2 linked regions of the Bombyx mori genome follow. The protein of the gene in region 2 purifies or fractionates together with the protein of the main gene of each other region. This does not show direct contact. Links are inferred from orthologs where the notes say so. Each region holds a gene or a part of one and is shown on either strand. Other genes may lie near its edges.

Region 1 (5,373 bases), on a different chromosome or scaffold from region 2:
CTGGATCCATGGACATCGCAACGAATAAGGGGGGAAAAAAAGGGTTACCCATATCTTTTTATCATTAGCTAGACAGACTATTCCTTATAATGTGAAATTGAAATAAATTTGCCTTTTAACATTGGCATACGTTATAACGTTGATAAGGTTCATTATGCATTAAATCCATATCGTCATGTTCAAGACAAAGGCACTGTCAGTCGTGATGTATTGTAGACGCACGACGCCTGTTAAGTAGACAGTTCACGTGCAGACGCCAACACTAAATGTACCCAAGTATGTATAATGTTACTCAACTATAAAGTTAACGCGATCAGGAATCCCAGCTAAATCAAATCGTAAACTGTATTAATTTTAAGTAGACATCGGCTTGTTCGTCCTTCAGTGACGATGACCACTACAGTAATTAAGTAGTAAGCTTTTAAAGATTTTCAAAGCCTTTATAATAAAGTATAAAAATATACGTATAGCATCTCTCATGTGTGCCATTTGGATTGTATAACGTATTTTTTTTTATTGCTTAGGTGGATGGACGAGCTCACAGCCCACCTGGTGTCGAGTGGTTACAGAAGCCCATAGACATCTACAACGTAAATGCGCCACCCACCTCGAGATATAAGTTCTAAGATGTCAGTATAGTTACGTTTGCTTCAAATATACCATTTACTGCAAATGTTCACGTTAAATTTTATTTATGTTCTGGAATTAACATTGAAAATTTTCGTGTTTTCACAAATAAAAATATAGAATTTATTATAGATAAGAATTTATTTTTAAGTACAATAATAAATTTAATTTGTGCTACATAAAATTTGATCAATTCAACACGTTATCCTGTTCAAATGTTGTAGAAATCACTTGGGACGACCTCTATTTATCAAATATTCAAATGGCAAAAACAGCGTATCTTGATTATTATTAACTACAACTTTAAAAGAGCTGTACAACTAATAAATAACATAAAACGTTCAAGATGTTTAAAATGTCGAGAGAAATATTGGGAGAGCCAATATTATTAGATAATCACCTTAGATTGAGGTCAGCGTCTGCCTTTTGGAAGGTCTCGAGTGCTCTTTCCGACTCCCTCGCCGCACGTTCGTACGCTCGCCTGGCTCGTTCCAGTGAACCTATCGAAGTGTTCAGAACTCCCATTTGTTTTGCTCCTTCGTTTAAATGTTGCTGGAAAAAACGAAACTTATTTTATTATTTAAAAAATATTTAATAACAGATTTCTTTAGATTTTCATGAATTTACTAGCTGTACCCGTCCGCTTCGCTGAGCATTTAAAATTAACATGATTATTTCTCTCCCCCACAAAGATTCTCATCATTAACGCCCCCGCATCTGGTGTAGGGAATCCAACACTCATATAAATATTAGCCTATCCATTACGTACATGTATTTTCTACATGGATACCGAGTTTCAAGTCAATTGGATGCATGGTTCAGTAGTTATAACGGAACATCCGTAAAAACCACTGTAGATTTTTTATATGTTAGTATGAATTAAAATGAGTTTAAATATTTTTCTTTAATTTGAAATTTATGTCATGTTTATCTATTGAAGAATTTCACCAATTAAAAAAATAAATGAAAATAAGTAATTCAATATATTTATCATTCAGTTAACATGATATTGGTGTCGATTTTTGAAAGTAATCAATTTTACCTTCCGTGACCCCGAAAGCTGTAAGTATTCGAAATGTCCAACTAAAAAATGAAACAAGATAAGCACGACATCAACCGTAAATCTGACATTTATTATTCACCCAGACATCTTATTAGACCTGTGACCGAAGAATTATAGCTGTTCATATTTTGGCAATACTTTCTTTTTTTAATCAATTTCTTTTACTGACATTGATTGGCTTCACATCTTATCATCATCATCATCATCATCATCAGCCTTTATCTGCCCACTGCTGGACATAGGCCTTCCCCAATGCCTTCCACATAATGCGGTCCTCCGCCTTCCGCATCCAACGACTTCCCGCCGTGCGCACTAAGTCGTCAGTCCACCTGGTTGGAGGACGCCCCACGCTCCTTATACCCATCCGTGGCCTCCATTCGAGGACTTTCCTCCCCCACCTGGCGTCGCTGGCTCGACAGATGTGACCGGCCCATTGCCACTTCAGCCTGCTAACTTTGAGAGCTATGTCGTCGACTTTGGTTCTCCGTCGAATTTCTTCGTTCCGGATTTTGTCCCTTAGAGAAATACCTAGCATAGCTCTCTCCATCGCCCGCTGTGCGACTCTTAACTTATGGGCCAGCCCTGCCGTCAGTGTCCAGGTTTCCGCGCCGTAGGTCATAGCGGGGAGAATGCACTGGTTAAAGACTTTTGTCTTCAGGCATTGAGGAATTTGCGAGGTGAGTATTGCACGGAATTTCCCAAATGCCGACCAACCCAGTCGTATGCGTCTTATAACCTTATCATCATATCACATCTTATAACCTCACAATATTTTTTTGTTCAGCGACGCATTACCATACTTTACCATTATACATTACCATACCATACCAATTTTTCTAATGAAATACGTACTCAACAAATGTTCACGATTGACTTCCGCGGTGAAGGAATAACATCGTGTAATAAAAATGAAACCCGCAAAATTATAATTTGCGTAATTACTGGTGGTAGGACCTCTTGTGAGTCCGAACGGGTAGGTACCACCGCCCCGCCTATTTCTGCCGTGAAGCAGTAATGCGTTTCGGTTTGAAGGGTGGGGCAGCCGTTGTGACTATACTGAGACCTTAGAACTATATCTCAAGGTGTGTGGCGCATTTACGTTGTAGATGTCTATGGGCTCCAGTAACCACTTAACATCAGGTGGGCTGTGAGCTCGTCCACACAGCTAAGCAAAAAAAAAAAAAAAACCCTTACATACAAGAAATGCGAATTCGGTGGTGTCACTTTAGATAAAAATATCGTATTTGTTAATCTCGTGATATCCTTGATAGGGGTTTGCAACACACCAATGTGTCGCGGTGGTTGAAAGACCCTCGTATAGCCTACTTATGTTAACGCGAGGAGCACAGCCAAACTGCTTGCCAGATAATTAACAAAACAGTTTTGATGATACATTATATAATCGAGCAATAAAAAGGAATACACAGAAGAAATTCTCGAACGCGGTGCAAATAACGGCATATCTTAAGAAACTTGTTTGCATTCCGTTTACAAGATTTATAGATTTAAAAATAAATGTATGTGGGTCTCATAATGAAATGTGACGCTGATAGACATTTCTTTGATTATTCGGAGCGAGGAAATAATAAATCAAAATTAGTAATTATAATTCGAAACGCAAAATATTTTAGTTTTAGCTTAGTGCAATTGTGTAGTTTATCTGAAATTACAATGTAGTTGGGTTCAAGCATGACACGTACGGAATAGGCGAGTTCATGTCTACTCTTGACTGTTTACAGAGAAACATCATAACGTTTTGTATTAATCTATATTTCCAAGAAACTATCGCACCGACCACAAAGCAATGTGAGTTCAATGAATCGTGGTCGTATTTTATTAACCAACTTACTGTCGTTTACAATGTTCAACTTATGTGTTTATTTTAAATTTGCTAGTTAGAGTAATGGTTGCGGACAAAAATCATTCAATATTTTCACTGTCTCGTGTATATAATTAGAAAATCGTAAAGTTTATTCGCTAATATTGAAGGTTTGTTTGTTTCTATTAAACTACTAGCTGTACCCGTCCGCTTCGCTTGGCATTTAAAATTGACATTATGATTTGTCACCCCTACAAAGATTCTCATCATTAACACCCCCGCAACTGGTGTAGGGAGTCCAACACTCATATAAATATTAGCCTATCCATTAAGTACATGTATTTTCTACATGGATACCAAGTTTCAAGTCAATCGGATGCATGGTTCGGTAGTTATAACGGAACATCCGTAAAAACCACTGTAGATTTATATTTTAGTATAGATAGATATAGAAGTATAGATATAGATCATACAGCACTGAAACTATACTAAGCATAACGGAGTGCAATCAATTGCTTCTAAACGTTAAACATGTTTAAAACTAGTGAATGAAAATTATAAACAAACCTTTCTTTCCTCTCGCAATTCTTTGGCGAGCAGGTGCAACTCTCGGACTACATTTGATTGAAGATTTTCCGCGACAACTTCCCGTTGTCCTGCGAAATCGCCTAACTCTTGCAGTAACTGTTTAAATGCTTTACATGCTGTATACCTAAAAACGTAACACGAATAAAAGCTTTTGATTTTATTACTCGAATACATTTCCGTTTCTCAGGACGTAAACATATTATTTGTTCATCAGCAGAATTCTTTTCTAATCAAATTTATTAAAATGCGAATTACCCATTTTAACAAAAAATGAGTTAAGTCTGCAGCAACTGAAAGTTTTTTGGTTATTTTTATACATCTTGTTAACCATGGCAAACGTCAGATGTAAAAATCCAGATGAAAAGAATGAAATGTATTCCTATTAGTCATATTCTAAACGAAGATCGTGGGCGCTTCGTGATCGGGATATTTCTGCTACTTCCTATCATCCGGTTCTGGCAGCAATCTTTCTAATCTTAGAAAGGAAAGTTTTTTACCTATTCTTCTTCTCTTTATACGGTACGTACGGTAACATCATTACTACCGTGAAGCAGTGGTGTGTTTCACAACCATTGTATCAATTCGATTGAGATTTTAACTAATCACTCAAAGTAGGCAGAAGCATATACATACATTGGGGAGTCTTTGGGATGTCGCCGCTTAACAGCTAGGCGATACAGTTAATAGAAAAACCGTCCTAAGCTGATGGTCTAGAGAGAGACCATATCAGCGTCACCGGGCTAGTAGGTGAGCTCACAGGACTTAAACCTGATGATGTTGCTAGCACGAACCCTAGCAAGAGCCGTGCTTCGCAGAATCTACCACCGGATCGAAAACGCGACCCACTAAGAAGATCCGACGTGAAACTCAGTGGGCTGTGTCTGTGGGTTAATTTACTCGCCGAACCCTTCGTCGCAAGCGACGGGTTCGACGAGAACGGTGATCGGGGCATGAAGACAACGGCATCAGCTACATTAATTAGATACTAGAATCACTTTTTTTTAAGCTTCTAACACATAATCCCAATAATCACATTATTTTATTCTTTAAACGGTTACTCACTGGTATTCATCTTCTTCTTTCCTTTTTGGTTGATAATTTTTGACAAGCCTCCTGCAATGTCAAAATCAATTATAATAGATAGTACATGCAATCATTTAATCGAAAACTAACTTGTATATGTATATTATTTGCATAGTAAAAGTGACAGTTTTTTTTTTGTTCTTATAATCAAACTGGAGCAACCAGTTCTTTGCTCCTTGTTAAACTTTCTCGT
Region 2 (5,802 bases):
AAAAACTTAAAATTTAATTTTTAAAATATTTGACAGTAAAATACTACATTTTCAATCATTTTCTTTTTATAACCCTGGAAATCTATAATTACTTAAGCAGTCTAGACATATTATATGTGCAACAGTACAGCATCGGAGTGGAGGCATCCACTATTTCTCTAATTACTTTCTTTGGATCTTTGTAGGTATATTACTTTTAAACAAACATCAGGTATGCAGGCATGAGCAGATATTATAAAATATTTTTACCATCAGAAATAATATTTTTTTGGGATATATTTTCATACCTGGGTAAGCGCTGAGCATTCTACATATTTGACAGCCTTAAGCTCTTTTGCCAATTTCTCTCCTTGTTCCAATGAAACCGGCTTCTGTTTTATTTTAGCAAGTTTCTCCATTGTAGCCGAATCATCGCGCAAGTCTATTTGCGTCCCAACCAACAAAAACGGTGTCTTCTGTTGATGATGAGTTATTTCAGGGACCCACTGGAAAGTCAAATACTCAGATTAGTTTCCATACTAGCTAAATCTTATTTACTAATTTTTACATCACTATCTTTGATTTAAGTCTATATCATGTATATAATGAATTATATAATAAATTACAATACTTTTTAATATACCTTTTCCTTTACATTTTCAAATGAACTAGGGCTCACAACACTGAAGCATACAAGGAAAACATCTGTTTGAGGATAACTCAGTGGTCTTAGCCTGTCATAATCTTCCTGACCTGAAATGAAGATGTATAATTTATAATGCATGTTAATTTTTCATACCAAAACAAATTTCCAATAAATAGTAAATTTTACCTGCAGTATCAAAAAGACCTAGAGTGTAAGGTTCACCTCCAATCATGACAGTGACTGCGTAGTTATCAAATACAGTTGGAACATACTCTGATGGAAATTTGTTAGTTGTATAGCTGATCAGAAGACATGTTTTACCAACAGCACCATCACCCACAACAACACATTTTATTGTCTGCATCTTTAAACAATTAGTTGTTTCTTCACAATTTGTACACCAAATTTTCTTTTATTATAGGGACTATTTGGTTCATAGCAAACTCTGATAGAAAGTTTCTGGAACAAAACAATTGGGGGTGTTTCAAAATAGGCATAAATTAATGTAATAGTAGAATAATAAATTAATAAATTATAAATATAAATCGGATGGTGGAATATCTGGGGTATACAGTGGCAGAGTAAGACACCCCATTTGAGTGTTTCAAAGTAAGTTTAAATGGATTTGGCAAGGTGAGGCCTAATGATGTCATACAGGGGAATCACTATATCATGTCATATTATGTCCATATTTTGTGCAGCGCTATATCACATTAATTGAGTTTGGTGTCATTCCCTATGGGTCGTTTCAATTTGGTTTCAACTGCTCAAAATAAATACTCCTGACCTGGTCCCACCAAGTACACAGCACAATCGTCACAGTCTGAGTATACAGCCGAACTGTGCAGGCTAATGCTATGAATATAACTCTTCTTTTTGTAACATTTTGACTTTAACTAATAAGGAATCCAGGCTCCTTGCTTTTGAAATACTTTCAATAGATGTGATAACTTGTAAATGACTTTGTGAGCAACTGCTTATGCTGAGGCTAGCGGATTTTGCATCAGCCACTGATTCAATCAGATACAAATTTGAAGACAGCGACTTCGTTGAATTTAGCTTTCCTTTACTTTGACAGTCATCAATATCGAAACCACTGTCTATGAACTGACTGAACCAATCACAGCATATAGTTTCGCTTAAAGCAGCATTGCCATAAACTTTTTGTAGTTCTCGAAGAGCTTCATCCAGCGTATTTTTCAAATGAAAGAAGAAAAGAAACACTTCCCGCATATGATACTTATTTGTTATAAAATCAGACAGTTTCACACAACCAAAAGTATATGTAACAACATAATTTTCAATAAATTTAATGTTTCTTTTATTTACCATCTGTCTAAGCTTGGTTCACAATATATTTGATCTATCAAAATCGACCAGCACTTACTGCTGCAGCCATCTATTGAGAAACAGCGAGAACTTAGTTGCAAGCCTTATACATATATTATTACTACATACCTACATACTCTTTTTATGATTGCGAGCATAAATTCCACTGTAGAAATTGTATTGTAAACAAAATCATGTTACAGACAAACTTGCTTAGTTTATAATTTTCTTTTTAACAGAATTAAAATAAAATATTACTATTAAGCATGTGATGCAATGTTTCTAATAAATACCCACACCCACACATTATTAACTAAGAATGATAAAATAGATTATTCAAAATTAAATTAATAGATCCAGCGATATGAAGGTCGTATACTGTTATTCAAAGTTGAACTAAATGTCAAGTCAACTTCTACATATTTTGTATTAATAAAAATTAATATACACATGGTTTATGATTATGCCAATGATACAGCTTGGAGCTCATACTCCCTGTTATCACCATTCATCCTACAACTACCTAGACATTAACATTATCTGATTTAAAATGTAGCAGTTTCAAATATTATCTTTCAAAATGGGTAAAAATATCTATACATTGTGATTACTATTAATGGTATTATGAACATTTTGATTCAACTAATGATTTCACTGTGTTAAGTTATTTTATGATCCACATTGAGAAATTTCGCTTAGGCAAGTATTACTGTTGTTTTGGTGATAACAGTAAAATAAAATATTTGTCTTACTTTTACTTTATTGAATATAATAGTACGACTGAATATATGTATAGCTAAACAGTAACCTGGTAATATGTTAAGCCTTTAAATATAACTTTAAATATACCTTATAAAGGTTTTAATATAAAAAAATTGAGGAGAATAAATCATGAGAAAATGAAGATGAGTAATGTTGTTTATTCCATGTATTGGGATACACTGGTTCATAGTTTAATATTATGAGAAGTTAAAACTATTTTTAATCATTGTAAAGATACCATTATCCTCCTAAGCTGCATTCTAATATCCAGTCACTCTTAATTCATTATTGCATTAAGAAATCTTTTTAATTGACAACTGAAATAAGCTCCTTGGGTAGAATACAGTCAATTCTACAACTGTTAAGTTGAAATCAACAATTGATTTAAATAATTTACCATTTTTTATTTTAAATCTAGCAGTCCTTGACCTGAATGTTATTACTGACTTTTTCCAAATCTTCAACTAATTCACGAATTGTTATTAGAAGCCCAACAAAAATACAGTTATTTAGGAGGAAAAAAATATATTTAAAAATGTTAATAGTTAAAAACAAAAGCGATCGACACCCATACTAATTAGCTTTAAGTGCATTACACAAACTGCATTCCGACTCGGCGATAATCAGGGTCTCATACGTCGCATAGCAAATGAAATGCCAAGCACACTACAAAATAGGAACACATTCAAAGGGCATTGACCTTTAAAAGGGTCGAATTAAAAGAAAACTGCTTTTAAAGAACATTTCGAGCACAAAACAAAGAACTATTTCCTGAGATAGTATTGTAGCCGAGCGACCGATAACAGCCAACAGGGTGTGTTTGTCGTCCGCAAGACAAGTGCCTCCGAGTTCCTGTTACCTTTCAGTCCCGTGGTACTATTTGAGTATAAGTATTCAATGGCTACGGAGAATGAAATTAAAGCGATAGGTATAGTGTTAAAAAAAACGATAACTTTCTAGAAATATTTGAAGTATTTTTGCTTTTTTTTACATAATCACGTCACAATAATTTTGACGTCCATTTTGTGTTGTGCTCGACAACAACCACTAATATGGTGTTTTTACCTTATTTGTAATCAATTTCATTTCATTACACACTTACCTAATTACGAAGATAATAAATATTTCAAATGAATACAATAACACCACGTTGTAAATAGGAAATGTTGAATGTTACAGTCTCCAAGTAGCGGGTTGGGTCATTGACGGTGTGACGCCATTGATTGAATAGAGCAGTAAATGCCTAGAAATTTGTCTATGGTCCGAATGTCAACAGTCAGAGAATCGATTTTATCGTACCTTTAGTAAAAAAATATTAACAAAATGGAAATAAAATATTTATTTTAAACGAATTGCTGAGTTAATTTCAATATTTGTTTTAAATCTAAAACATATGCTTCTTTAAAACTATTATAATCATATACTACACATAAATGGAAGGCGTACATAATTATTTAAGTAGGTACGTGTTCCATGATCCGAGGCCGTTGATATGATTCAATAAGAATCAGAGTGTACTTAATTAACACTGATATAAGTAAAGTTTTGGAGGGTCAATCATTTGAGCTCTACAAAGTATAGGACAACGAAAATTCTCACCTGTAGTTATCAGAAAGTAGCTATCCTTTAAATACTTACTGAAATAAATGCTTTAGTAATTTGATGTAATCATTGCGTAATTTAAGTAATATCAAATATTTATCTATACTTTAAATTAAATAGACGGGTTAAGTGATGATGACGCTGTGGAAGGAAATTTACGGGAGCTCCAAGTGTCGGACTGGCAAGATGTTGCGCAGCGCCGGGATGAATGGCAAAGTTTATTGTCGGAGGCCGAGACCCACTTCGGGGTCATAGCGCCAGCTCAGTAGTAGTAGTAGTTAAGTGATTAACGAAGCCTCCTTGCCCTAAACACGTAATTACGGATCCTCCCGATACAAACGGTTCTTTTAGGTACCTTAAGCACCAGTCACCGTTCCCACTGAACCCATCGCTTGCAACGCCGTGCTCGGCGAGTAAATTAACCCACAGACACAGACCACTAAGCTCGTCGCTGGATCTTCTCAATGGGTCGTGTTTCCAATTCGGTGGTAGACTCTGCGAAGCACTGCTCTTGCTAGGGACAGTGCTAGCAACTTCCTTATTAGAGCCCCAAGAGCTCACCTACACGCAAGGGTAACGCTAATATAGCTTCTCAAGGCTATAAGTATTGGTACGAAAAAAGTAGCCTACAGACCAACATAAAAATCGGATGTGCAAAAACGAAACTAATTTATTGATATTCACTGTGAAGTTTGATAATGATTGTTGGAGCAAATAAATCCATAACAAAAAATAACATTGAATATTTGTAACAATTAGGTAAATCGTACAATCTATGTCACATACTCATTTAATCATATACCAATTTTCGTTGTGAAATAGTAGTTGGCAATTAGTATTATGCAATAAAATGCTGTTACATCGTTCATAGAATAAATTGCGCACTATAAAATCGACTAAAAAAAATTTGACGTACTTTCTTAATGTCAAGAATCATTTTTGTCACCTCTTTTGAAAATCTGGCAGGCAATAAAAATAAAAGAAGAATACTTGTACTCCATTTAAAAAACAAGCATAGATGTATATTTAGTGTATTGTATTTGAATTGAGCGTTTAACTGACGTATAATTTGATTTATAATATTGAGTGATTTGCCTTAAAAAAAAAACACAAAACACACTAAGAAAAATATTTTTAAAATAAATTTTTTAACATGCTTTTACTTGGAAAAACTTTTCCAGACTTCTCTGCCAACACAACAGAAGGCGAAATAAATTTTCACGAGTGGCTAGGAGATAAGTATGTTATTTTTAAAAAAGTGAATGAATTTATAAATATAAAAATATGTATGTATCTATATGGTTTTTTTTTTCTTATCTAATAAAAACTATAAATCATATACCTAAAAATATTTAAACAAAACTATACTACAGAAATAAATTATAAACATTGGCTTATGCAGTGTGTTATTTATAAGAAGCTTCTACATGTGACTTCAGTTATAAATAAATACCTATCCCTTGGGAATAATGTTTTGTTTCCAG

What was found. Proteins that work in one complex are often made in the same cells at the same time.
Region 1: the proteins of cdc42 homolog (region 2) and formin-binding protein 1-like purify together in Drosophila melanogaster (affinity purification with western blotting; 4 studies listed by BioGRID). This does not show direct contact. The link is inferred for Bombyx mori from reciprocal best matches to the Drosophila melanogaster genes Cdc42 and Cip4.

What each region holds. Positions count from the first base shown.
Region 1 is NC_085121.1:6,512,521-6,517,893, reverse strand, and holds part of formin-binding protein 1-like, read right to left. Parts: intron 5,211-5,373; coding exon 5,160-5,210; intron 4,222-5,159; coding exon 4,077-4,221; intron 1,180-4,076; coding exon 1,028-1,179; intron 1-1,027.
Region 2 is NC_085107.1:13,963,287-13,969,088, forward strand, and holds the start of cdc42 homolog, read right to left. Parts: upstream 3,968-5,802; 5' UTR 3,819-3,967; intron 3,614-3,818; exon of another isoform or gene 3,417-3,613; intron 2,025-3,416; exon of another isoform or gene 1,955-2,024; intron 1,859-1,954; coding exon of another isoform or gene 1,481-1,858; intron 1,085-1,480; 5' UTR 990-1,084; coding exon 812-989; intron 733-811; coding exon 623-732; intron 486-622; coding exon 288-485; intron 1-287. Other genes in the region: uncharacterized protein LOC134199721, read right to left, coding at 1,481-1,858. UniProt on the Drosophila melanogaster protein: Regulates mbt kinase activity and is also required to recruit mbt to adherens junctions. Together with mbt and Frl, regulates photoreceptor cell morphogenesis. Together with Frl, has a role in the neuronal development of mushroom bodies.